Pelodiscus sinensis: one gene and its partners. The protein of the gene in region 1 interacts with the protein of each later gene in a biochemical or structural test. Links are inferred from orthologs where the notes say so. Each region holds a gene or a part of one and is shown on either strand. Other genes may lie near its edges.

What was found. The genes of interacting proteins can lie anywhere in the genome.
Region 2: the proteins of ARHGEF16 (region 1) and TAX1BP3 form a complex in vitro, tested with the Homo sapiens proteins (2 studies listed by BioGRID and IntAct, with this or other methods). The link is inferred for Pelodiscus sinensis from reciprocal best matches to the Homo sapiens genes ARHGEF16 and TAX1BP3.
Region 3: the proteins of ARHGEF16 (region 1) and DLG1 interact in a test that uses a peptide from one of them, tested with the Homo sapiens proteins (2 studies listed by IntAct, with this or other methods). The link is inferred for Pelodiscus sinensis from reciprocal best matches to the Homo sapiens genes ARHGEF16 and DLG1.

The regions. Positions count from the first base shown.
Region 1 is NC_134733.1:21,397,426-21,405,058, forward strand, and holds the start of ARHGEF16 (rho guanine nucleotide exchange factor 16), read left to right. Parts: upstream 1-4,631; 5' UTR 4,632-4,770; intron 4,771-5,843; exon of another isoform or gene 5,844-5,974; intron 5,975-7,633. UniProt on the Homo sapiens protein: Guanyl-nucleotide exchange factor of the RHOG GTPase stimulating the exchange of RHOG-associated GDP for GTP. May play a role in chemotactic cell migration by mediating the activation of RAC1 by EPHA2.
Region 2 is NC_134731.1:3,641,686-3,649,578, forward strand, and holds the start of TAX1BP3 (tax1-binding protein 3), read left to right. Parts: upstream 1-4,880; 5' UTR 4,881-4,981; coding exon 4,982-5,020; intron 5,021-7,893. Other genes in the region: EMC6 (ER membrane protein complex subunit 6), read right to left, coding at 2,061-2,393. UniProt on the Homo sapiens protein: May regulate a number of protein-protein interactions by competing for PDZ domain binding sites. Binds CTNNB1 and may thereby act as an inhibitor of the Wnt signaling pathway. Competes with LIN7A for KCNJ4 binding, and thereby promotes KCNJ4 internalization.
Region 3 is NC_134720.1:55,448,070-55,454,913, forward strand, and holds the start of DLG1 (disks large homolog 1), read left to right. Parts: upstream 1-3,831; 5' UTR 3,832-4,247; coding exon 4,248-4,266; intron 4,267-4,720; coding exon 4,721-4,852; intron 4,853-6,844. UniProt on the Homo sapiens protein: Essential multidomain scaffolding protein required for normal development. Recruits channels, receptors and signaling molecules to discrete plasma membrane domains in polarized cells.

The DNA of each region.
Region 1 (7,633 bases):
GTCTCGGGGCCACGAGGTGGAAGAGTGCCCCACCCAGCAGAGGTGTGGGGGTTACAGTGTCGTCCACTTTCCATTGCTGACCCAGCCCAGAGGACAACGTGCAGATCGGTACGTTAGTTTGCCACTTGTTAGTGTGACGGGGCAACCTCTGCATGTGTCCTACCTTGTCCGAGGGAGCTGCACTCCAGAGAAAGGGCACTCTGTCTCGGGCCATTTCTGGGGTCTCCGGCCATTTCTGGTCCCTTCTTGGAAATACGATGGAAAACCACTTTTCTTGTGCTAATTCGCGTGCAGAAATGACATACATCCGTCATGAGGCCTGGGCAGAGCCACCATGTCTGAGGGACGAGCCAAACTCTTCTGAGGTTTGGGATGTGCTTTGGATGTGGCTTCCGGCTAGGACTGGAGCCACCTGCTAAATTTGGCTCTGGACTTGAATATTTCTGCTATTCAGTGCTAAGGGTCTGGATCGAGCCCTCTTTGAACTGTATTTTTTTAAGCACCAGCTAGTTCTCATCAACAGCTCGATTCCTCGAAACCCATCAGTAGCTTGAAGTAGCTTCCTCCTTGCTTCTACCATTGAAGCTCTTCCATAGTTGAGAGACGGGTTGGGGAACCAGCCTTAGAAATGTGTGAACAAGATGAGCCCTGTTCTGCCATCTCCCTGCCCCCCGCCACCCTCGCCCAACAGAGCGATGACAGAGCCTCTGTCAACGGACTTGCCAATAGCTCCCTGTCTCGTGTGAAGGTCACTGCACAGAGATGTCCTGGAGAGAGCCCAACGGGAAGATTCCCCCCTTGCGCACTGGCACGATGTAATAGGTCAGGGGAACAATGAAGAACAGGATCAGCAATGAAGCGCGCGATTGTTCTGGGGAGGATTCACGCCCACGGCAAATTCCGTCGCAGGGCAATCCTCGAAGGCAGAGAAAATGCCCCTTATTATATCAGCTTGCACCCTGCGGGAGCAGATCTGTCAAGGTCAGCAACGCACGATGGGGGGAACTTCTAAAGCCCCGAAACCTGCCTGCTGCAGCCACCCAGGCGGTGAGCGAATGCTGATATCCTTCCGCTTGGCCCTGGAGAACCGGAGTTTATCTTTAGAGCTCAGGATTTCTGGCTCCCGGCCCTGAGCCAAATGAGAACCATGGAGATTTGGGGTTTTTTTTTTAAAAAACAAAACTCTATTGTTTTTTGCACAAAAAATGGCTCTCGATTCAGGTTAGGGATAAGTTTGAGGTGAAAGCGCAGCTCAGTTCTGATAGAATCCAGCCAAGTCAGCCAGGCCTGTTGATAGCGGGTGGGAGGAAGTAAAAGGGGCAGCTGTCCTGGGCCCGGTGATTCAAAAGCGCTCAGAGCGCCCCTCGCTGCTACTTCAATAGCAATGGCGGCCAGAGCCCAGGAGAGTAACCTCAAGCCCCGCCCCTTCAATCTGAGGCTCCGCCCCTTAAAGGAGCATAGAGCTGCCTTTCTCCCCTCCCCCCCGCCCGCTTTGCCCTGAGGCCTGGCATTTCTGTCAGCTTCCCTGCAATCAGAAAACAAGCTACAGAGGGTGTGGAGAACCCAGCGCTAGCTGGCGGCACTTGGCCATGGCGTGACGTAGTGGGGATTGTGTTTGCTCTGTTTGCTTTGTGAGGCTGGCTGTGATTCCTGCTGCCCTGCCCTGTTCCGTTGGGACCCTGGGTGTGTGCCTCAGTTTCCCTGGGCATTGCATGGGCACCCGGCTGGGGATGGGAATGTTGGATGCTGCTTTCGCTGAGGGGAGGCTGTTCCATGTCCACAACTATAGCTCAGGCTGTCTTGTAACCTGAGCTGAGGTGGGAAGCGCAACCAGGTGACACCTTGCCAGGGACTGCGGGGCTGGGACCAGTTGCTGGGTGTGAGAGTTACTCTCAGCTGGCGGAGGATGCAGGGAGGTGGCCCAGGGCGCCGGCTCTGCCCCCTCCTTCCCCCCACCCCAAGTTGGATTGTACTGGCTGCTCCCGGTTCCTGTGTCAACAACAAGTCTGTGCTACGCGGTGGCCCTGTCAATGAAGAAACCTTCTCTTCTACTTGCCGGCTGACAGTCCGTCTGACTGTGGATGTGGGGACAGGGCCTGGTGACTCCCCCGCACGCCGTGACTGACGGTACCTAGATCTGAGCGGTTTGCAGTGTCATTGTGGCTGTGCCGGTCCTCAAACATTAGAGACACAAAGCGGGGGAGGTGAATTGTTCCCTCTAAGCTGAGAATGTGGGAAAGTGCCCAGGAGAAATTCGAATGCCGCAGAGCGGATTAGCAGAGCACCCACAGCCGGCAGCGTGTGTGTCTCCTGGTGGTGCCCCTCTGCACATGGCTCGGTGCACAGAACAACATTTATTCTGCACACGGATGGAAAAAATGAGGGAGCCTGGGTGTGGTGATTTCTGTTATTGAACCAACTTCTCTCGGTGAGAGGGACGCACTGGCGAGCGGCAGGGGGGTTTAGGGACAGGCTCACGATACAGGGTTATGGAGACGGAAATGCCACGGGTCAGGTGGCCCAGAAGGCAGGTGTGTGGGGAAAAGCAGCAGAACCCGGGTTTGAAGGCAGCAGGGTTCCAAGCTGGGTTTCTATTTCTGGCACCTAGATGCGCTAGGGACGCGAGCCCCTAGAGAAGCAGGTACGGCCCAGCGGGGAACCGCAGTGAGATGGGGGCTGGTTTAAAGGGTGCTCTCCTGCTTGACGCTCCTCTAGGAGCACTGCTTCGGTACTACAGCCCTGGAATTGGCGCAGGGTGGGGGGGAGCCTATGGCCTGGGGGCCAGATCCAGCCCCCAGCTTGCCTGGATCTGGCCCCCCAGGCTTGGAGCTCCCCCCAGCTTTGGGGAGCTGGTTCTGGCACTCCAGCACCCTACTTCCCACCCAGCCCTCCCACCCTGAGTCTGCTCCTGCCACCTCCCACCCACCCAGACCTACCCACCCCCAACACACTCCTGGACCCTCCCTCCCGCCCAGCCCCCACACCACAAGCCTGCTTCCTGGCAGCCCCTCCCCCCCACTGAACCCCTCAGTTTTTGCCCCCGCCGGAGCCTGGGGCCCACAAAGTCCCCTAGCCTGCCCCCGCCAGGTTCTGAGGTGTGATGGGGAATGTGGGGAGGGTCTTTCTGCTTCTCACTCGGGGGCCACGTCAGTGAGGGGTTTTGGTTGGGGGGGGTGTCTCATTTGTCTGATTTTTCTTTGAGTCGGCGGCCCCCAACCAAAAACACGGTCGCCAGTGTCACGACAGGCTGCGAAAACCCACCGGGCCCCCTCTGCAACCCTGCCTGGCTGCCCCATGGCTAGCCCTCGGGGAGCTGGGCTGGGGCTGGAAAAAGACCCAGGGCCAGGCTGCCTCCGGGGGCTGCTGGGCACAACGGGGCTGCCTGGCTTCTGAGAGCGGGATCCCTCCAGCCGGCCGGCCAGGAGCGGTCTCGCGGCCTGCCACTAGGGAGCAGGTCTGCATCGCAGTTCTGTCTCTCTCTCCCCGCTGGGAGGCCATTGCCAATTCTTCCTCCCCGTGAAAGCCTCCTTCCCGTCTTGTGATGATTCGACTAGTGGCCTTCTAAGGAGAGGCTGCCTGCCTGGGACCCTTCAGGGAGGCTTGAGAGAGGGCAGCAGGCCTGAGAGGGAGGGAGGCAGAGGGAACCGGACACAGCAGCGGTGGGGGAGAGCTGCCTGGCTCTTAGGGAGAGACAAGCAACCGGAGCCATTTGGCCAAGAGCGGCAGGAGGACCCGGGTTGACTTAGGGATGTTAAATATCGGTTCATTGAATAGTCCATTAACCTCGTGAATTCTTATCGGTTACTCGACTATTCGATAGTCCCCAGGGGCGGGGCCGGCAGCCAGTGCGCTCTGGCCCCACTCCTGAGGAGCCCCCTGCCATGCCGCGGGGTACCAGGCGGGAGCTGGTCCATGAGGGGAGCCAGTTTAAAAACCAGCTGCCTGTTGCCCCGCACTGCTGCCTCGGATACAGCGCAGGGAGGTAGCAGCCCCTGTCCGGGAGGAGGGGGCAGTCTGAGCTCCTGGATCCAGCATGAGCCAGAACTGAGGCGGGTTGCCTGCCCGCCTGGCTGCTAATTCACTTTAAATGCAGAGCTGCAGCGAGGGTTGGTCCCGGACCCAGCGTGAGCCAGGACTGAGCTGGCCAGCCTGCTAAAAAACGTACTGGCAAGTGGGGTGGGGGGACGCGTGTAGTCTACAGCATTAACCGATAAGCATTAATCAGTTAATTGATTACACTATTCGGTCCCTAGGTTGGATGGGAGCTGAAACGGGCCTGGTGGTGAGAGCTGCTCGCGGCCGGGAATCCCGGCTGAGCAGACGCCTTGGGCGCTGGCGCCGGGGAGAAAGTGGAGGATCCGCGTTGGTGAGGGGAAGCTGAGCCTGGCAGTGAGAGGACGGCTTGGGAGAGCGGACCCCAGGAGCAGGGACGGGACTCCCCCACTACACACATTGTTCCAGCCCCCCCCCCCCCCCCCCCCGTGGGGAAATCTCTGCAGTGCAGAGCTGGGAGCAGCAGGGGGCAGACTTCCACTGCTATGGCCGCCCGGGCAGGGATGCAGCTGGAGTGGCGCCTGCAGGTTCTTTCAGGAGCTCTGCCCTCGGAGGACACTCCCTGGAACCGGATACACCCCTGCCCAGCACCTGGCTTGGTCTTTCTGCCTGGGTGAAGCCGGGCCGCACTGCCCCCCCTGGGAATTCGCCTTCTCCCTCCCTGCCGAGCAGCAAGAGCGATTTACGCTCAGTCCTAGGGAAGGAAAGGGTTAGCTGGTAAGCATTGCCTTCCCAACATACCTAGTGAACCAGGGCCCGGAGCAGCCCCTCAGCCGGGCCCACCATGCCTAGCTGTGGGGGGCGAGGGCTGCTCCAGCGCACACCCCCTCCCCCATCCATGGGGGGACAGGCAGTTAAGCCTGTACCCAGGTACCAGTTGACATGGGGTTTTGCGCCCCTACTCACTAGCGCGCAGGGGGATGAAGGAGACACTGGCGCAGCAGGGCACTGGGCATCGCACCCTCCACTCCGGCTGCTAGGAACAGGAGCAAACCTTGATTCAGTGTCACGCCCCATTCAGTTCCAATGCCGTCTAAGGCCCAAAGCCTGGGCCTGGCCAAGGCCAGCGCGGCCGCCTGTATTTCCACAAGGGGCAAGGCCATTCCCCACCCGCCACCCTACGATTTTACGGGACTTTCTCCCAAACTCCTGCTTCCCACGCTGCGGCCCGGCTGCAGCCAGGACTTTGCTCCGTGGCCACGGTGGGGGTCCCCTGGCCCTGCAGGGACGGCGGACGCACAAGGCCGGTCCTGGCACGGGAGGCTGGCGGCTGCCAGAGCCAACCCCCCTCTCAGAAATGGCTGAGGACTCGGGATGGGTTGTCCGGCTTCGGGTGACACACTTGGGGCCCGTCTTTGTCTCTGGGGTGGGCGCCTCCCCGGCCCCTATCGACACCTCTTCAGGCTTGTTTCGGCCCTGGAGAGAGAGGGGGCGACCCTAGGGGGGCACCCTAAAGCTCAGATTCCCTGATTCGGCCTCGCCAGCTGCGTTGGCTGCCAAGCCCGCGCCGCCCCACTTCGGGGGCACCCCCCATGCGGCCGCTGCTGTGGCAGGGAGCCATGGACCAGGCAGCCGTGGGGCGCAGCGGTCTGCGGCAGGCAGGGCAAAGGGCAGTTCCCCTGGGACCCCCATTTGAGGGGGGCCCCCAAACCTAGGGCGCCCAGAGGCTCCCAGCGCGGGGCTGCCCAGACGCGCAGCGCCGAGCACAGGCACGACCCCGGCTGCAGGGTACCCGGGCTGGCGGGGCCGGGCTGGCAGGTGGCGGCCCCACCCCCGGGGCGGGCCGAGCCGAGCCGAGCCGGGGTGGGGCTCCGCCGAGCGCTGCTCCCTGCCCGCCCGCAGCCGCCGCGCTCTGCCCGGGACGCACCTGCCCGGCGGCGATGGAGGCTCCGGGCCGCCGCTGACCTGGCTCGCCGCGCAGGTAGGAGGGGGGCGCCCGGCCGGGCAGGGGGCGCCGGGGCTGGGGCGGGGCCGCCTCCCTGCACGGCCCGGCCGGAGCAGCGAACACGGGGCCCCGCGTCCTGAGCTGCGCCGAGGGGTCCCCGCTTCCCCCGGCCCGGGGAGTGGTGCCGCCGGGGGCTCCCCGCCATGCGCTGGGCCCCCGGGCTGCGGCTGCTGCGGGCCCTCGGCGGGGTGGCAGGGGCCGTGCGGTGGGCTAGGGCCTGGGGGCCCCGCTGCCTCTGCATGGGGCAGGGTGGGGGGAGCCAGGGCTGGCCTTACCAGGAGGCGAACTGGGGGGGGCACCAGGACCCAGGGAAGTGAGACCTTCCAAAGTTTTGCCCAAGCGAGGGGGCGGGGGGGGGTCATTGGAGCGCCCCTCCTCAGGTGCCAAAATGTTGTGGGCCGGCCCTGGGGGAAGGGGCAGTTTGCTGGGGCACCCCCATTTGAGCGGGCCCCCAAACCAAGACCCCCCTCCCCCCCACTCCCTGGCACCAGGCAGGGTCCCCCAGGCCAAACCGGAGAGATGCTGTTATGGGCGCCCTCGCTGTACGTCCAAGCTACGTCCAAAACGCTTGGGCCTCTAGTGAAACAGGAAAGTGGGACTTCCCCCTCCCCCCACTTCCATTTGCACACATTGTTGTGTTGTTTGGGGTTTTGTGCGACCTAAGAGCGGGGCTGGGAGCACTTGGAAACGCGTCTGTTCCTCCCACTGTGGGCGACTTCAGTGCGGAGCAGGTGTATCCCGGGGAGACTTACGCCGGCGACGCCCTGTACCCTGGAAGGGCCTGGCCCTTGTGAAAAGTGTCCCGGGTGCCACTGCCCACGGATAGCACACTGTGCTGGGCCTTGGGAGCCCTGGGTTCGGTTCCTGGTTTTGCCTCTGCTTTGCAGGGTGACCTTTGGCAGGAGGGGACTTACCGGTTTCTAAACCAGAGAAAACAGAACTGAGGCTGCAAAGAGAGACGTGGGTGAAAAGTGCTCACTGAGAGCGAGGGGTGTTGCCTGCTCTTATCACTTTCCCTTTGGGTTCACACACTGTTTGCCCTGTCGCTCCGGAGTCACTCCTGGATGCTGAGAGTGTGCAATTGGGTAGACATTTGGAGCAGCGGATGGCTATTCTGCAGTGCTCTCAGGCTAGTTATGGTGTGCCGCGGTGTCACTTCCAGTGTGCCTGGTAAGCTGAGTGGGTGGCCACCCAGAAGAGATTCAAATGCTACCTAGCTGATTAGCAGAGTGCCCACAGCCGACAGCATGTGGTTCTATTAGTGGTGCACATTTGCGCATGTCTTGGTGCACATAAAATTTATTCTGCTCATGGGTGGAAAATTTAGAGGGAACACTGGTCGCTTTCTATCACCGCCTTGTCCCTGCTTTTGGGATATACTGGAAGTCTCTGCATCCTAAGCATACCTTTGTGTAAAACTTGAAAGCCCCTGCTTCCGTGCTGGTAGCCACAAAACTGGGAGAGGCTGGAGAATTACCAGAGAAACCTGCTAAAATCTTTGGCAAAGCCCTTTGGGTGTGTTTATAGCCGTGTTTGTGTAGAGCATCCACTCAGGTTTTTGTAGAACTCTGCTTGATATTGGCTTTCGCCATCGCCCGTTCTCAGAGTGGCAGGTTTCCTGAGCTCTGGGAACAG
Region 2 (7,893 bases), on another chromosome or scaffold:
TTAACCATACACATGCCATTTCCTCTTTTTAAGTACAGGCAGTCCCCGAGTTACGTGGATCCGACTTATGTAAGCCCCCCAGCAGACCAGGGAGATGCTGAGCAAAGCCGCGGAGCACGCGGGCAGCGGGAAAGCCCAGACACGCCGCGGCTGTCTTTGCTCCCCGTCTCCCTGGTCTGCTGTCTCCAGCAGACCAGGGAGACACGGAGCAAAGCCGCGGAGGACCCGGGCGGCGGGACCGTGGTACGTCTCGGTCTGCCACCCGCATCTTGGTCTGCGGGGGGGGGGGGGGCGCAACTAGTGCCCCCCCCCCTCCCAGCAGACCAGGCTTTTCTCCGGACTCCTGTGGTAGAGCAGCTGGGGCACTGCCAGTTGGTCCTGCAGCGCTGCTCTGGGCGCTACTGGACCAACCCAGCAGCACCCCAGCTGCTCTGCCCCAGGCGTCTCCAAGTCAGCAGCTGCTGAAACTGATCAGCGGCTGATTCCACGAAGCCCAGGGCACAGCAACTCTGCCTCGGGCTTGCTGTAGTCAGCCGCTGGTCAGTTTCAGCAGCGGCTGAATCTGGATGCCAGTTCCGACTTACATACAGATTCAACTTAAGAACAAACCTATAGTCCCTATCTTGTACGTAACCCGGGGACTGACTGTAATGCATTTTGTTTTAAAAACACACAGCTTTTGAACAATACACATCTCTTAATAAGATGCCCATCTAAGCATAACTAAAGTGCTCACGTTTAAAAGATGCATGACTCAATACTGAAAAACAGTTCTGACAGAAATAACTAGACCATGTTATTTTGCAGGTGACCAAATGTAAATTCATTGTAAATATATAGCATGGCAGACTATAGTATCATCAGTCTCCCTCTTTCCTATATAACTAGTTTGTTTCACTATTAAATGAAGTTTAAAAATGGATAGAATACTTTAAAAAAAGGCATTTTAAAGCATAAGTGAGAATGTTTTACAGTGAATGTTCCATGCCACTGGTTAGTAATTTATGCTTCAGAATAGGTGAACTGTAAAAATGCTATTGATCTGACTTTCTCTTTGTATGGAAAAAACTGCTATATATAGAAAGTATGCTTTAGAGCCCTGTCACCATACAAGCGTAGAGACGATATACTCACTTAAAAAAAAAAAACTGGTGAGGGACTGTAAGGTCCATCCTGTAGCTGAAAGCTGCAGTTTACAGCTTAGTCTGTCCTGCAGAAAATGAATGCATTGGATGTTTAGGGAAATATGAATAGTGAGTCTATTTCAAATGTCTGGCAGTAGGTTGTTCACATTAGATATAACTGACAGATTCCTAGGATACTGTGGTTGCCTTTGGGATAGTATAATATTTCATTGGAAAGTATTGTGCAAACTGCTAAAACCCCAGAACAGTGATTCATGATGGTGCTACTTATTGCCTTTGATATCTACCACTAAAATGTATGCTTTGCAAAGTCAATGCATGGAAGAGACTGAAATGTTTTATTAACTTTAATTTCCTTTTGTAAAATGGACTGTACCCAATGTGAAGGATCACAGCACTTATGAGCCAGACAAATAAGATACTTCTGTCCAGAGTTTCATGTACCTTTAATTATATATTACTGTGAAACCATTTTTGTGTCTATTTCCTTTCAGGTTTTGTTGCATTAAGCTTATGGTTAAATATACTCTTTACCAATGCTTGTATGCTGGTGCAAACAGTAACATAGTAGGAACACAAATAAAATAGAGCTGTTTCTGATATTACAGATGCAGAATGTAAAAGGAACACAGTCAGCCAAGAATGATTGATACAGTTGTAATAAAGGTGGAAAATGCCACCTTGCCAGTGATAGGCTATTTATATGTATATGAGAATTTAAGTGACTCTTTCATAAGACATTTTACATGTAATTAGACAAATACTACAGAACTTTGTACTCAGACATAAGTTACTGACAGCCTTAAGAATACAAGCAGTGAACAACAACGTAAAAAGCTGGCATAGTTGTTTAGATGAGTTTTTGGCAACAGTCCTATTTCTTTTAAAACCACTGCAGTTGAAGTGGTTACTATTTTAGTAGACATGCACCATGCCATAGAGGAAGGTCCAGAAGAGAACATATGTGAAGAGGCCACCGATAAGCCCCCCAGTGAAAAGTGGCCTTCGGGATTTAAAGTACTTATTCCACCGCCGTCCAGCTTTCAATACCAAAAGCATGGAGAGAAGGACAGAAGCCAAGAAGTAGAAGATAAAGCCATGTAAACCAGTCAGACCAAGAATTCCTGCTGTTGCTCCTGACAAGGCAGAAACTGACGTCCTGCAATAATCCAGAATGGCTGCATTCCCTCGGACTGCTCCTTCGCTGATGAACTGAGGTCCTTCTCGCTTGGCCACCATTGTAGCCATTGCTCCGGTTTGGAGTCAAGGATCTTTTTCTCCCAACAAGACTAGGTCAAAGGAGAGAAAAAACTACTGTACTAAGTCAGTTTTATTTCATTTTACTTAGGATGATGGGATGGAACCATTCTTTTCCCTCCTGTCAATAACTAACAACAGGAACTGAAATAATGAAAAATGCACTGCTACTTGGAAATTGATGACCTTAGCACAAATCACCATCAGTAAACTGATAGTTCCTATAATCTTTTCAACATATGGTAATGTCAGGCCTTACATCAATGCATTCAGCAGAATATTTTTCATGCCCTTTGGGGGAAAAAAAACACTGTATTCCCAGTTATCTCTTATTAAAAATAAGTGGTGGTCTTTGAATAACTACAATAAATTAAGGAACTAGTCACATATCTACTAGCTGTTATAACTGCTGGTATTTAAAGAGTTACTAAAACATTCAAATAAATAATGTAGTTTACTCTTCAATTCTATGCAAATATAAAATTAACTTGATTTAATCAGGTAAGATTGTCTCTACTTAGAGCCCTTTACTGTCATTTGCACCACATATATAAACAAAACTGAACCAATCTCACTACTGTATGGCTACAGCACATAAATTTGTTACAAGAAGAAAAATTTAGGCCAGCTTTATTAAGTCTGAAAAAATAGAATGTATCCTTCCAGTATAAGATGTGCAAGCCCAATTTATAATGAGGTTACTTAGCTCTATATGGCATTTTCCTCATCCATGTAGTTCTAATAGCAAACTTTTTCACATCCTCCATTTTGTATCATTAATAAGAGTTTGAGTAAAATTTCTTATTTACATTTACATTTCTATCATTCTGTTCAACAATGCTGCCTCTAAGGATGTAAAATCCTGTTTAATCAGTTAACCCCACATTTCTCAAACTGTGGGTCCTGACCCCCCTGGGGGGTTGAAAGCAACTTAAGGGGGGAGGGTCGCAGTATCACAAAGTTTGAGAACCTGAGTTAATGGGTTAAACATTATGTCTAACTGGTTAATGGCTTAAACAGGGGTGGAGGCTGCTCTGGGCCTGCCCCTATTGCAATGCTCCAGCCAGGCAGAGCCTTCCCAAATGAGGACCATTCCCCTGGGCTGGAGTGCCCCTCTAAATGGTTACATGTGGTTAACCATTCACATTTCTAGCCACTTCTACTTATCTACCTAAATTCTGAGGTTGTAATTAAATCCAAGGAGGAAGTATCTAAACACTACAGGACCCAATTAGCTTCATGTAATTTGCACACTGCATTAAAACACTGGCAATTCTATAGCCTTTTTCAAACAATGATTTCAGAGTGCTTTAAAGAACCCTTTCTCCACTCAAAATAACTAGATACCGGGCTTGTCAGCATTCAGTGCTCTAGAAGAGGTATATCCTTTGCTAGTATAGGAAACCACCATGGATCCTACACATGCTTATACCAGCATGGAATAGATTTCTTCTAGAGCACTGAATGCTTACCGGCCACTTCACTTTGAATGGTCCCTTGAAATAGGTATAATTCTAAACACTCTCTTCCACAGCGTAATACATGAATGTTAGGATAAAACATGACAGCTCTTCAACAGCAACACTGTGTAAGAGCTCAGGACTGAAAGCAAAATGCGTTGTGCTTAACTGAAGCTTCTGAGAAATCTGGAGGGCCTCACAATGTAATTACCTGAGGTTGATTGCAATCAGAACAAAAGGGATTTGGTCAAGCACTTTACTCCCCAAATGTAGCTTTTCTGCAAAAGAAAAATCGGTTAAACTGTAATCACGTTTTACAAAGTACCAATAAAAGATTTAAATCCATATGTCAGTGTGGTCTGTCATTATCTTGCAGGTGGGTCTCGGAGTTGGGGCTCACTACCCCCCTGCAGTGGGGAACTGTTACTCCACCCCCACAAGGCTGGCACACCAGTGCTGGCTGGCGAGGGAAGGACGCAGCTCTGTGCGCTGCTGCTCCCCCTTTCCCTGGCTGGGGGCTTTCCCCAGTGCTCCCATTGGCCGAATCACAGTCAATGGGAGCAGCAGGGGCGGGTGCCTGAGAGTGGCAGGAGGCACCGAACCAGGCAAGCAGCCCCCCCCCGATCTCCTGCACCCCCCCCACTCTGCTCCCCCCCCGCCCCCACGTGGTGCCCACGGCTGGCTGGCGGTCCGTGGGAAGGCCGCGTTGGGCGGGGGGAGCCCTCCCCACGGGGATAACGTCTGAGACCCGTCGGGCGGGGCGGGATTTGGAAGTTTCTCTCCCCCCCCCCGGCAGCGCCCTAGGGGCGGGCGGCCTGGGGGGCAGGCTCCGGCTGGGGCCCGAGAAGCGCCAGGCCCCACAGCGGGGAGGGGGGGGGGGGTCACTAACCTCCCGCCCTGAGGTAACCGCCGCCGCTCACCCGTCGCTACCGGCCGCCATCTTGGAACCGAGGCTGCCGGGAAACGCCGCGCGCGCCGCTCCCTCCACCCCCGCCCAGCCCAGGTGTCGCTGCGGCTGCGCATGCGCCGCCCGCTCCCACGGCCTGAGGCGCCGCCCCCGATTAGCGGGGCCGCCGGGCGCTTTTGTTGGCGAGTGGGGCGCGAGCTGCCGGCGGGGCCATGTCGTACATCCCGGGGCAGCCGGTCACCGCCGTGGTGGTGAGTGGGGGAGGGGCGGCCGGTCGGTCCGCGCTGGGCTCGGCTCGCGGGGCTGAGGGCGGGGCTCGGCTCTCTCCTCAGGGCGCCCGGGGGGGGGGGGGGGCGTGTTCCGCCGCCGGTACCAGCGGGAGGGGGCAAGGGGGCGGGGGACTGTCCCCCCCCCCCCGCGCTCTGCTGCCAGCAAAGCAGCCCCCCCCCCGCGGGTCGGCCTGTCTCCGTCAGTCCGTCCAGCGCGACCGTCGGGGGGGTCCTGCCCGCGGGCCCCCCTCTGCCCGGGGCCAAGCCCCTTCTCTCCGCGGGGAAACCCGCTCGTGTCCGCCCCCGATAAATGCCTCTTCTTGGAGCCCCCTCCCCCGCAGAGCCCCCCCAGCGCCCCCGCCCTCCCCGACCCCTCTAGTTCTGCGTCTTGTCACTGCAACCCCCCCCCCCCGCCTTGATGCACCTGCCCCGCGCACCCTGCTACGGGGGTAAAACAGAATTTGAAACATCTGCCCCGAGGCAAACGAATCAGAGGGGGGGGGGGGGTGAAAATTGCACCTTTTCGTTGTGCGGGTCTGAAGGGATGGCATGACTTAGCTCCCCCTTTGTGTGTTTAAATACGGTATGTTTTCGGCTATTCCATTTTTCTTACCACTTTTGTACAGAACTATTGTACGGTCGCTAACCCTTCTGGACACTCAGGAAAACTGGAGTATGATGTGCTCTGACTTGCCCAGGGTCAGTGGTAGAATAGGGAACAGAAGCTCCCTGTCCTGTCTCTCCGGTCATGAGCTAATGGATTATGCTGTGTCCACGAGTTGCTTATGGTTACCTTTCGGATGAGTATAGGATTGTAGGCATGCATGCTACTTTTCAGTAGCTATATTGAAGGGATGAGAAAACGGAAAAGTGAGAAACAACTCCCCCGCCCTCCTCCCTTTTTTTTGCAAAAGGCCTAAAGTCATATAAGAACAAAGAACTAGAGGCTATATGGTGACTACAAAATAGTCTGGGAAAATGTACCCTGTAAGTGTAGAGGTGAAAACTTGCCGCATATCCATGTGGTGAGCACTATCTGTCCAGCCAAGTGATTGTCAAATGAAGTCAGACTTCTGACATCTCCTGCCATGCCAGGCAGCCTGAGCCCAAACTGGGATCATGGTATGTGTTGTGCTTTGATTAAGACGCATAATCAACTTGCCACTTATCAGAGGACTTCTCAGATGTCCGACCTCTCTAACAGTATTTTTCTTTGAAAACCATTGTGATTTTGATGGAAAGTGCTCACTGTTTAGCTTGCCAGATGTTGCCTTCTGTTAAGGTGCTTTCTGGGATAGAAGATAATGGCTCAGAATTACAATGAGCCACTTTTCCTGTGGGTAAAACCCCTGCACATCATGCTGTTCAAGGAACATAGGTTTTCTTGATTGGAATCTCAGCTATAGTTAATAAAAACCAAGAATGTCCTTGTTTGGCTTACATTGTGGTGCCTTAAAATACCCATCCCAGACACATACTCAATAAAAATGCCATGTGACTGCATGCTGTTCCTTTGAGCCTTGTTCTCAACAACCTGCCTCTGAGCCAATTCCAGTGTGGAAGATGACATAAAACGATATCAAAGCTGCTGCCATCCGCTTGTTTGGCTGCCAGCCTGGAGTCTGTTCCTTGTCTGACTTTTTGTATGCTCGGCTGCAAATTTGTAGTTTGTCTGTGGAAGTTGTCAGTATTTCCAATGAGCTCATGTGGAGTCTTACTCTTCAGTTAAAATGAGACTGTTTACTTGGCTAAGTTACAGACACCTCCCTCTTGTATGACAAATGAGCTAACTTGAGCAAGGAAGCATTCTGATGAATGGAAAAAGGCAAACCTGAGGGAAGAAAATTTAGAGACTTGAAATATCTTTCATGTAGCCTCTAATTACACCCCTACCCCCATGCTTTCTTTCCAGGAATTACTGTCGGAAGGGAAAGCTAGTTACCATATCCAATATGTACCTGGAGGAGATTTTAGAATATCTCGCATGGCAGAATATGCCCCTGAGCAGGGGATATAACAGTTTCTAACAGTTTCTAATCTCAGTACAGTATAAAGTGTCAATCCGATAGCATGGGGCATTATTGACCGTTATGTCCTCCTCTATACAGGGCTACATGGTGGTCTTTAAAAGGTTGGACTAGCATCTTCTTAAGCTATTCTAGACTTGTGAAGTAGATTTAAAATGCTTCGTGCTTAACTAGAGATATTCCTTGTGAAAAATTAGACACTAAGCAAACTTTTGAGAATTCAGTCCTTGAGTTTGATTTTATTATTGATTTCTATTATTACAGGTATTAAAAGGCATAGTAACAATAGTTGGTCACACTTGAGTCTATGAAATTAAAATGTGCTAACATGTGAACTACTTTCCTTGGTGAAGATTGCAGAGCAACTCACTTCAAATTAAAAATCACACTTAAACCAGGCTTCCTGGTGACATATATGATAAATCTAATAATTTTGGTGAAAGTAGGTCACGCAGCAGAGTGCACAAATATTGGTTTGGTAGAGCAGTTTGTAGCCGGGGCGGGGTGGGAGGAGGAGAGAATCTGGGCTTAATTCAAGAGGAAAGACTGAAGAGGCCCTTGCTGGACAAGGTTCTGGGTAAGACTTCCTTACTAAGAGTTCCTCTGCTGTTACTCATACAACGTTTTAAAATCCCTCCCTCCCTTCATTTCCATTGTGGTTGTAGAGATTAAACTTCTTTAGATGCCTAAGTGGCTAGTCATTTAGGGATATGATTGGAGATGCTTATTTCTGTTGTGGCTTGCTAACAAGGACAAAAGATGCTTCTCAGTTACTGCTGAAGGGCAGGGCATCCTAATAATTGATTCAGTTTTAAAGTTTAACACAGA
Region 3 (6,844 bases), on another chromosome or scaffold:
AAGGAACTGAAGGGACTGTTGCCGCACATGCGTGGCAGCGACACCATGCGTGCCGCCTGTCCCGTTTGTGCGGCTCACCAGAAGGCACTGCTACTGTAAATCTCCAAGTAGGCGCGCAGTGGCACCTCAAGATAAAGGTGGAGCACCCACCGGGATACTCCTCGAAGAAGTCAGCACTATACAATCTCAATAAACAAATAGTAAAAATCCATAGAAAACCATTGTCAAATGGGTGATATTTTTAGTGGTACTAACCTCAATGTTATTTACTATTTTTGTTAGTGATCATCACATAAATTTAAAATCACTGTTGATTAAATTTACAGATGACGCAAAGCGTGATGAAGTGGTCATGCCAAGCAATTTGGATTGCGTGGGAATCTGCTTTTATTGAAACAAAATGTGTTTTAATACACGCAAAAGTAAGATCATATGTCTGGATGCAATGAATGTTGACCATTTCTATAAAATAGTGGACTGTGTCATGTTAAGTAACTTAGTATCTATGGAAGATAGCCACAAAGCATCCTTAAGAACTGCGTGCAAGCCGTGGCATAGTGTATAGGCCTGGGATGAGACGGTGTGTCAGAAATAGGGTCATAGCACTGCAGAGATTCTTGCCCTATGAGGTGGCTTAACTTAGAGAAGTCCTCAGAGGTATCTAAATTACAGTATCTTCAGCCCCAGAAACAACCCAGAACTGGTGGAAGGGGGCTGCAAAGGTGTGGCTTAGTTAAAGCCACCTCATTCTCTCTCCCTCTGACTGAATTCTGCACTGCACCTCTAAAGGGCACAGCATAGAATTCCACTCGAACCATGCTAATAAAATTTCACTCTTCCTTTCTTGAAGATTTTCTCTTCATGTTCTAGTTACTCCTAGAAACACTGGCATCACTTTACCCTATCAGTCTATTCCTACAGAAGAAATAGAAATGATGGGAACTTAGCAATACTTTCTCAGGTGCAATGTGGTTTGAATAATTGCGTCCTAGTTTGTTGATCCATCATGTTGGCTTTAGCATTGATTTCCCCCCCCCAGCACTATTCATCAGCATCTGTTCTTCCTTTTCCTGCATGCATGTTCCTCCTGGTATTGTAGATTCATAGATTTCAAGGCCAGAAGGGACCAATGTGATCATCTAATCTGACTTCCTATATAACAGAGGTCACAAAGCATCTCCAAAAATTCCTAGAGCAGATGGTTCAGAAAAATATCCAATCTTGATTTAAAAATAGCCAGTGATGGAAAACCCAAGATGTTCTAATAGTGAATTACCATCATTGTTAAAAAGATGACATCTTATTTGCAGTCTGAATGTATCTAGCTTTAATTTAGGAATTGATTGTGTTAAATCTTTGCCTTCTGGATTGAAGAGCTCTGTAGTAAGGAGTGATCCACCCAGTGGGGCAAACTCCACCCATTGATATAGAGTCTACACTCAGAGACAGAGATTCTATTCTGCTTCACGAGTGAAGGGGTGGGGTGCCCCTGGGGTTGTGTATGGACTATAGTTTAATCACTTCCTCACTTGTATCCGGGACAAGGTGGGTTATGTCGATTGCTTGTAAGCCACCTACAGTTCTTGTTACTGCTGTAACCCACTCTTCCGCTGCGGATTGCTTATGTTTATTTTGTACAACTTGTTTGGCTTTCGCACAATAAAACTCTTCTATTACATTTCTAGTCCCCATGTATTAGTAAAAACTCAGAGGGGTGAACACCTTAGAATGGAAGTTGTTTGTGACTCTGAATAACACATGGCACTTTCAAAAGCTTAAAACTGAACATTGACTTTTAATACAACTTTGAAAGTTTGGTATGCAGAAGAAAAATGCTGGTTTTAAGCACCTTATTATATAAACTCTTTCATCAGCCTGTTCATTTACAAGCTGACCTCCTGAGATTGATAAGTAAAAATGGCAAAATACTATGACCCTTTCACAAGCCAATCCTGTATTTCAGGGATTGGCAAACTTTGGTTCCTGGCCCATCAGGATAAGCTGCTGGCATGCTGGGATGTTTTATTTACCTGAAGCATCTGCTGGCAGGGAGCTCATCGGTTAACTGTCTGGAAATGGAGATGGATCATGTGAGGATTACCTGTTGTGTTCCTTCCCTCTGGGGTATTGGCCACTGTGAGCAGATACTGGGCTAGCTGGATCTTTGGTCTGACCCAGTATGGTTGTTCTTATGTTTTTAATTGTTTACACTATCACATCATGAATACCAAAAACAGTGCTGTAAAGCTGTATGAAATTTGACCCATTCATTTTACAAAATGCTGTATCTTACAAGTCAATTACAAAATATGGCACTAGTGTCAGTCTGCTACAGTGTAATTTTGATCTCTTCATGCATGTTGACCACTAGACGTCCTAAGTCTCGAGCCAATCTGAAAATATAATGTGCAGAACTGATGGAATCTATAAAAAAATTTAAATAGCCTATTATTGCCACAGGCATGCTAATCTACAGGGCTGCTTCAGAATTAACAAAGCATGATTATAATTTGACTGTGATTAAGCAGGTGACATTCCCATGTAAAATCTTTAACAAAATTATTTTCTAAGATAGTCATTTATAGTATTTAAAATGAACAATATTGAAATAACACAAAGAGTAGGGATCACCGAATGAAATTACAATAGGAAGTAGGTTTAAAATAAACAAAAGGAAGTACTTCACAAAACACAGCACAGTCAACCTGTGGAGCTCCTTGCCAGAGGATGTCGTGAGGTACAAAACTATAACATGGTTGAAAAAAAAGCTAAGTACATTGATGAAGGTTAGGTCCATTAATGGCTATTAGCCAGCATAGGTAGGAATGGTGTCCCTAGTCACTGTTTGTCAGAAATTGAGAATGGGTATCAGGGGATGGATCACTTGATTACCTGTTGTATTCATTCCCTCTGGAGCATCTGGTATTGGCCACTGTCAGAAGACATTATACTGTGCTAGATGGACCTTTGGACTGACCCAGTGTGGCTGTTGTTGTGATTGCCTAGGAAGTAGCATTACAGAAAACACTCCCAAGCAACTGGTGATCTTCTACCCTGCCTGAAGTGATTCCAGGTAGCCTTTCTTGCACAAGACCGTCCACACAGTGTGGATCTTTTCTCTTGTGCAAAAGCACACGCAGGCTGTGTCTACATTGGCAAGATGCAGTCACTTTTGCACAAAAACTTGCCGCCTGTCTACACTGGCTGTGAGTTCTTCCGCAAGAACACTAACGTTCTAATGTAAGAAATCAGCGCTTCTTGCGCAAGAACTGTGACGCTCCCGCTCAGGAATAAGCCCTCTTGCACAAGTGTTCTTGCGCAAGAGGCCAGTGTAGACAGGCATGAATTGCTTGCACAAGAAAGCCCGCTGGCTAAAATGGCCATTGGAGCTTTCTTGCGCAAGCGAGCATCTACACTGGCATGGATGCTTTTGGGCAAAAGCACATCTCTTGCACAAAGGCACATGCCAGTGTAGACGCTCTCCTGTGCAAATACTTTAACGCAAAAACTCTTGCGCTAAAGGTATTTGCGCAAAGTCTTGCCAATGTAGATGTAGGCGCGGTGCGGCCGTTCTCTTGCGCAACAAGCCTGCAGGGCAGAGTAGTGAGCCAGGTCTGGGTGCCAGGGTGGGGCAGCTGCCCCAGCAGGCCTGCCCCCCATAGCTACTGCCACGCCCCCTGGCGAGAGGCGTGTCCATTGGTTCGGGGCCTCCCACGTGCTCCTGGCCCTGCCGGCTCCCCAGGCCACGGCGCCTTTAAGCGGCCGAGTGCTCACCTTGCCTGCCCCACTAGGTACCAGCCCCGAGCCGAGCTGACTCCTGATTGGGCCGCCGCTGGGCTCGGTCACGTGGGGGCTGCTCTCTCCACAGCCGCTGGGCCGCCATTTTGGCTGGAAAGTTTGGAATTTCCAGCGGAGGCGGCGGGAGGGAGCGCGCGAGCAGCCCCCGCCGCGCGGCAGTGTCGGGCGCGCGAGCCCCGGGCCCCCGGCCGGCTCCCAGGGCGGAGCTGCCTGGCGACGCCCGCCCGAGCTCCGAGGGGGCTGCCCCGCCCCGTCCCGGCCCCGCTCCGGACCCCGGGGTCCGGGTCCGTCCTGCCCTCGAGCGCGGGGCAAGGCCCCTCCGAGCCCGGCAGGAGCGAGCAGCGCGCCCCCCGCCGCTCCGCTCCGGCTGCCGGCCCGTGCCCCGCGCGAAGTTCGGGAGGGCGGCGACAGGGCGCGTCCCGCCCGAGTCCAGCGGCGCGCGGCGCACCATGCCCGTCCGGAAGCAAGGTGAGAGCCGCGCCGCGCGGACCGAAGCGGCGGTTAAACCGCCTCGGTGGGAGAAACCGTCACCCTGCGCGCGCGGCGCGGCCCGGCTTGTGCCGAGAGCGGGGTCAGCCGCGGGGACTCGGCGCCTCCCCCAGTGTCTGCGGAGTTCGCAGCGGGCTGCTTGTTGCTGAGCTCGCTCGGCGGACGAGTCCGCTCGGGGGCGGGTGGCTCTGGAGCTGCAGCGTCGTGTGTCCGTGGGCGCGTAAAACCGCCTTGGAGACACCTGCCTCTTGGGGAAGAACCTGCAGCAGGAGCGGGGAGTCAGGAACTCGTGATGAATTGGGTAGAGTTCTTGAAAGTGGCGTATCGAGCGTGTGATATCAAGAACTACTGTACTGACCACTATTGGGCAGCTGCTATCTCTCCCCTCATGGTGATGTTTAATTCTAACTTTTTGTTTTGTTTTTATTTGCAGATACCCAGCGGGCTCTGTATCTCCTGGAGGAATACCGCTCTAAATTGAGCCAAAATGAGGACAGACAGCTGAGAAACTCCATAGAGCGTGTCATTAATATCTTCCAGAGCAACCTTTTCCAGGCATTGATAGGTAGATGTCTACATTTTTTTTTAAAAAAAAATTTTTTTGTGCAAAATCATCTAAAATTTTTTTTAAAGTAAAAACACTCAGCTTTTCACTTGAGGGTATTAACAAGTGAGGTCTCCAAATACTTGAAAGTCTGAGGGGTAGTCGTGTTAGTTTGTAATTTTTAAAAACAATGAGTAGTCCTGTGGCACCTTAGAGTGCTAATGAGGCTAACTGAGTCAGCTGGAAGTGTCACATACTTCAGTTCTTCTGTTTGCACTTGGCTAGGAAGATGATGTCTGTTTGGATCCCTGTGAATTGTCTTATGCAGTTGATGGATTTCCACTTCAGACAGCTGAATGTAGTGCCTTGCATGTTTAAAATCCACGGAGGGGGAGCCGTGTTAGTCTGCAACTTGAAATACGAGTAGTCATGTGGCACTTTAGAGGCTAACAAAAATATATATATATATGGTAATGAGCTTTAGTGGGCAAAACCCACTTCTTCAGATGAGATTGAGTGGAAGAAAAATGGGGGGGGGGGGATTCAGAATAAGATAGGAGAAGGAGGGGAAAAAAAATTACCTGTCGACTGGAGTCTCAGTGCTATTTGAGTGGGCTGAAAGTGCCCATACTTCTGTTCATCTGTTTGTACTTGGATAGGAAGATATTGTATGGCATCAGCTACTTAAAAATTTATCACCTCAGCATCTTTTTGGAAGCTTTGGGTTTGGGGTGATTATATAGATATACAAAAAGACTTACCAGGAGTTGCGTGGGTCTTTCAGGATAAGGATGTCAATGGGTAACCGATTACTCGCTAAGCATCACGCTTACTGGGACCCTTTGTCTCCCCTCCCACCCCATCCTCTGGCTCTGTGGCCAAGGCCTGGGGGGAGGGGGAGAAGAGTTTAGGGCAGTGGTCACCAACCAGTAGCTCAGGATCTACCAGTAGATCTTGGAGCCTGTAGCGGGGTCAAGCTCTGTCCAGTCCAGCCCAGCTGACCCCCGCCTTCAGTCTCTCTCTCTCTCTCTCTCCCTCTGTGTCCCTGCTGCTGCATGGCGGCCGCTTTACAGTCTCAGCTGGCCCGTTGGCTTGTCCGTTCCCCGCTCTGTTCCTCGGGCTGTCAACAATTGGGCTCGGCCGGCCCATCTGCCGGGGGCTGCGTTGCTCCTGGGCCCCCCCAGAGGCATTCCTTTGCCGCTGGCCCACTCCTCTCTGGTGTCTGCCGTCCCGGGCGCTCGCCGCCCCTCGAGCTCTCCACCTGTGGGAGGTGAGAGCACAGCCAGACCCTGCTCTCCTCCCCCATGCTCCTCCCAGCCCTCCTCCTTTTGGGCGTGTGGCCCGGCGTCCCGCCCCCGCCCCATTGGCGTGCTGGCGTCCCTGGGCTCTAGAGTCTGCCGCTTGCGGCCTGCCCCCTGCTGCGCATGTGCTGCTGGTGCCCCGCTCGCAGAGGCGGCGGCGGCGCCTGTAGGGTTGGGAGCTGCCGGACAGCGGACATAAGTGCGGGGAGCGGTTTCCCCGCCACAGCGCCTCTGACAGGTGATCCTGACTGGTTTGGTCAGGAAGCTATCGCGTGCCAGCAGTTGAACTGCCCTGCCCCTCCACCCTCTGTCATACTGCTCCTGACCTCTGCCTGGGAGCTGCCCCCTGGGAGCCTCCTGCTTGCTGTGCAAGGTGTTGGGTAAAGGGGGGTGCTGATGTCAGAGTGTCCTCCTTCCCCCCCCCCCCGTACCCCATCTCCACACAGAGAGAAGGGAATGGAGGGAGCTTGGCAGTGCAAATCGCTGTAACTCTCACACACTGTGTGTGTGTCTGTCATTTTCACAAACACACTGTCCTTCACTCTCCTCTCCCGACCTAACACATGTGGGAGGTTGTTACTTCTTTTACTGCTTGCAAAGTGGGTTAGTTTTGGATTTTGACTGGTCTGTGCATTTCATCATTTTCATTTCTCATACATTTACATTTAATTCTTTGAGTGGTGAGTTCTAAAGTACCTAATCTTTCACGGCT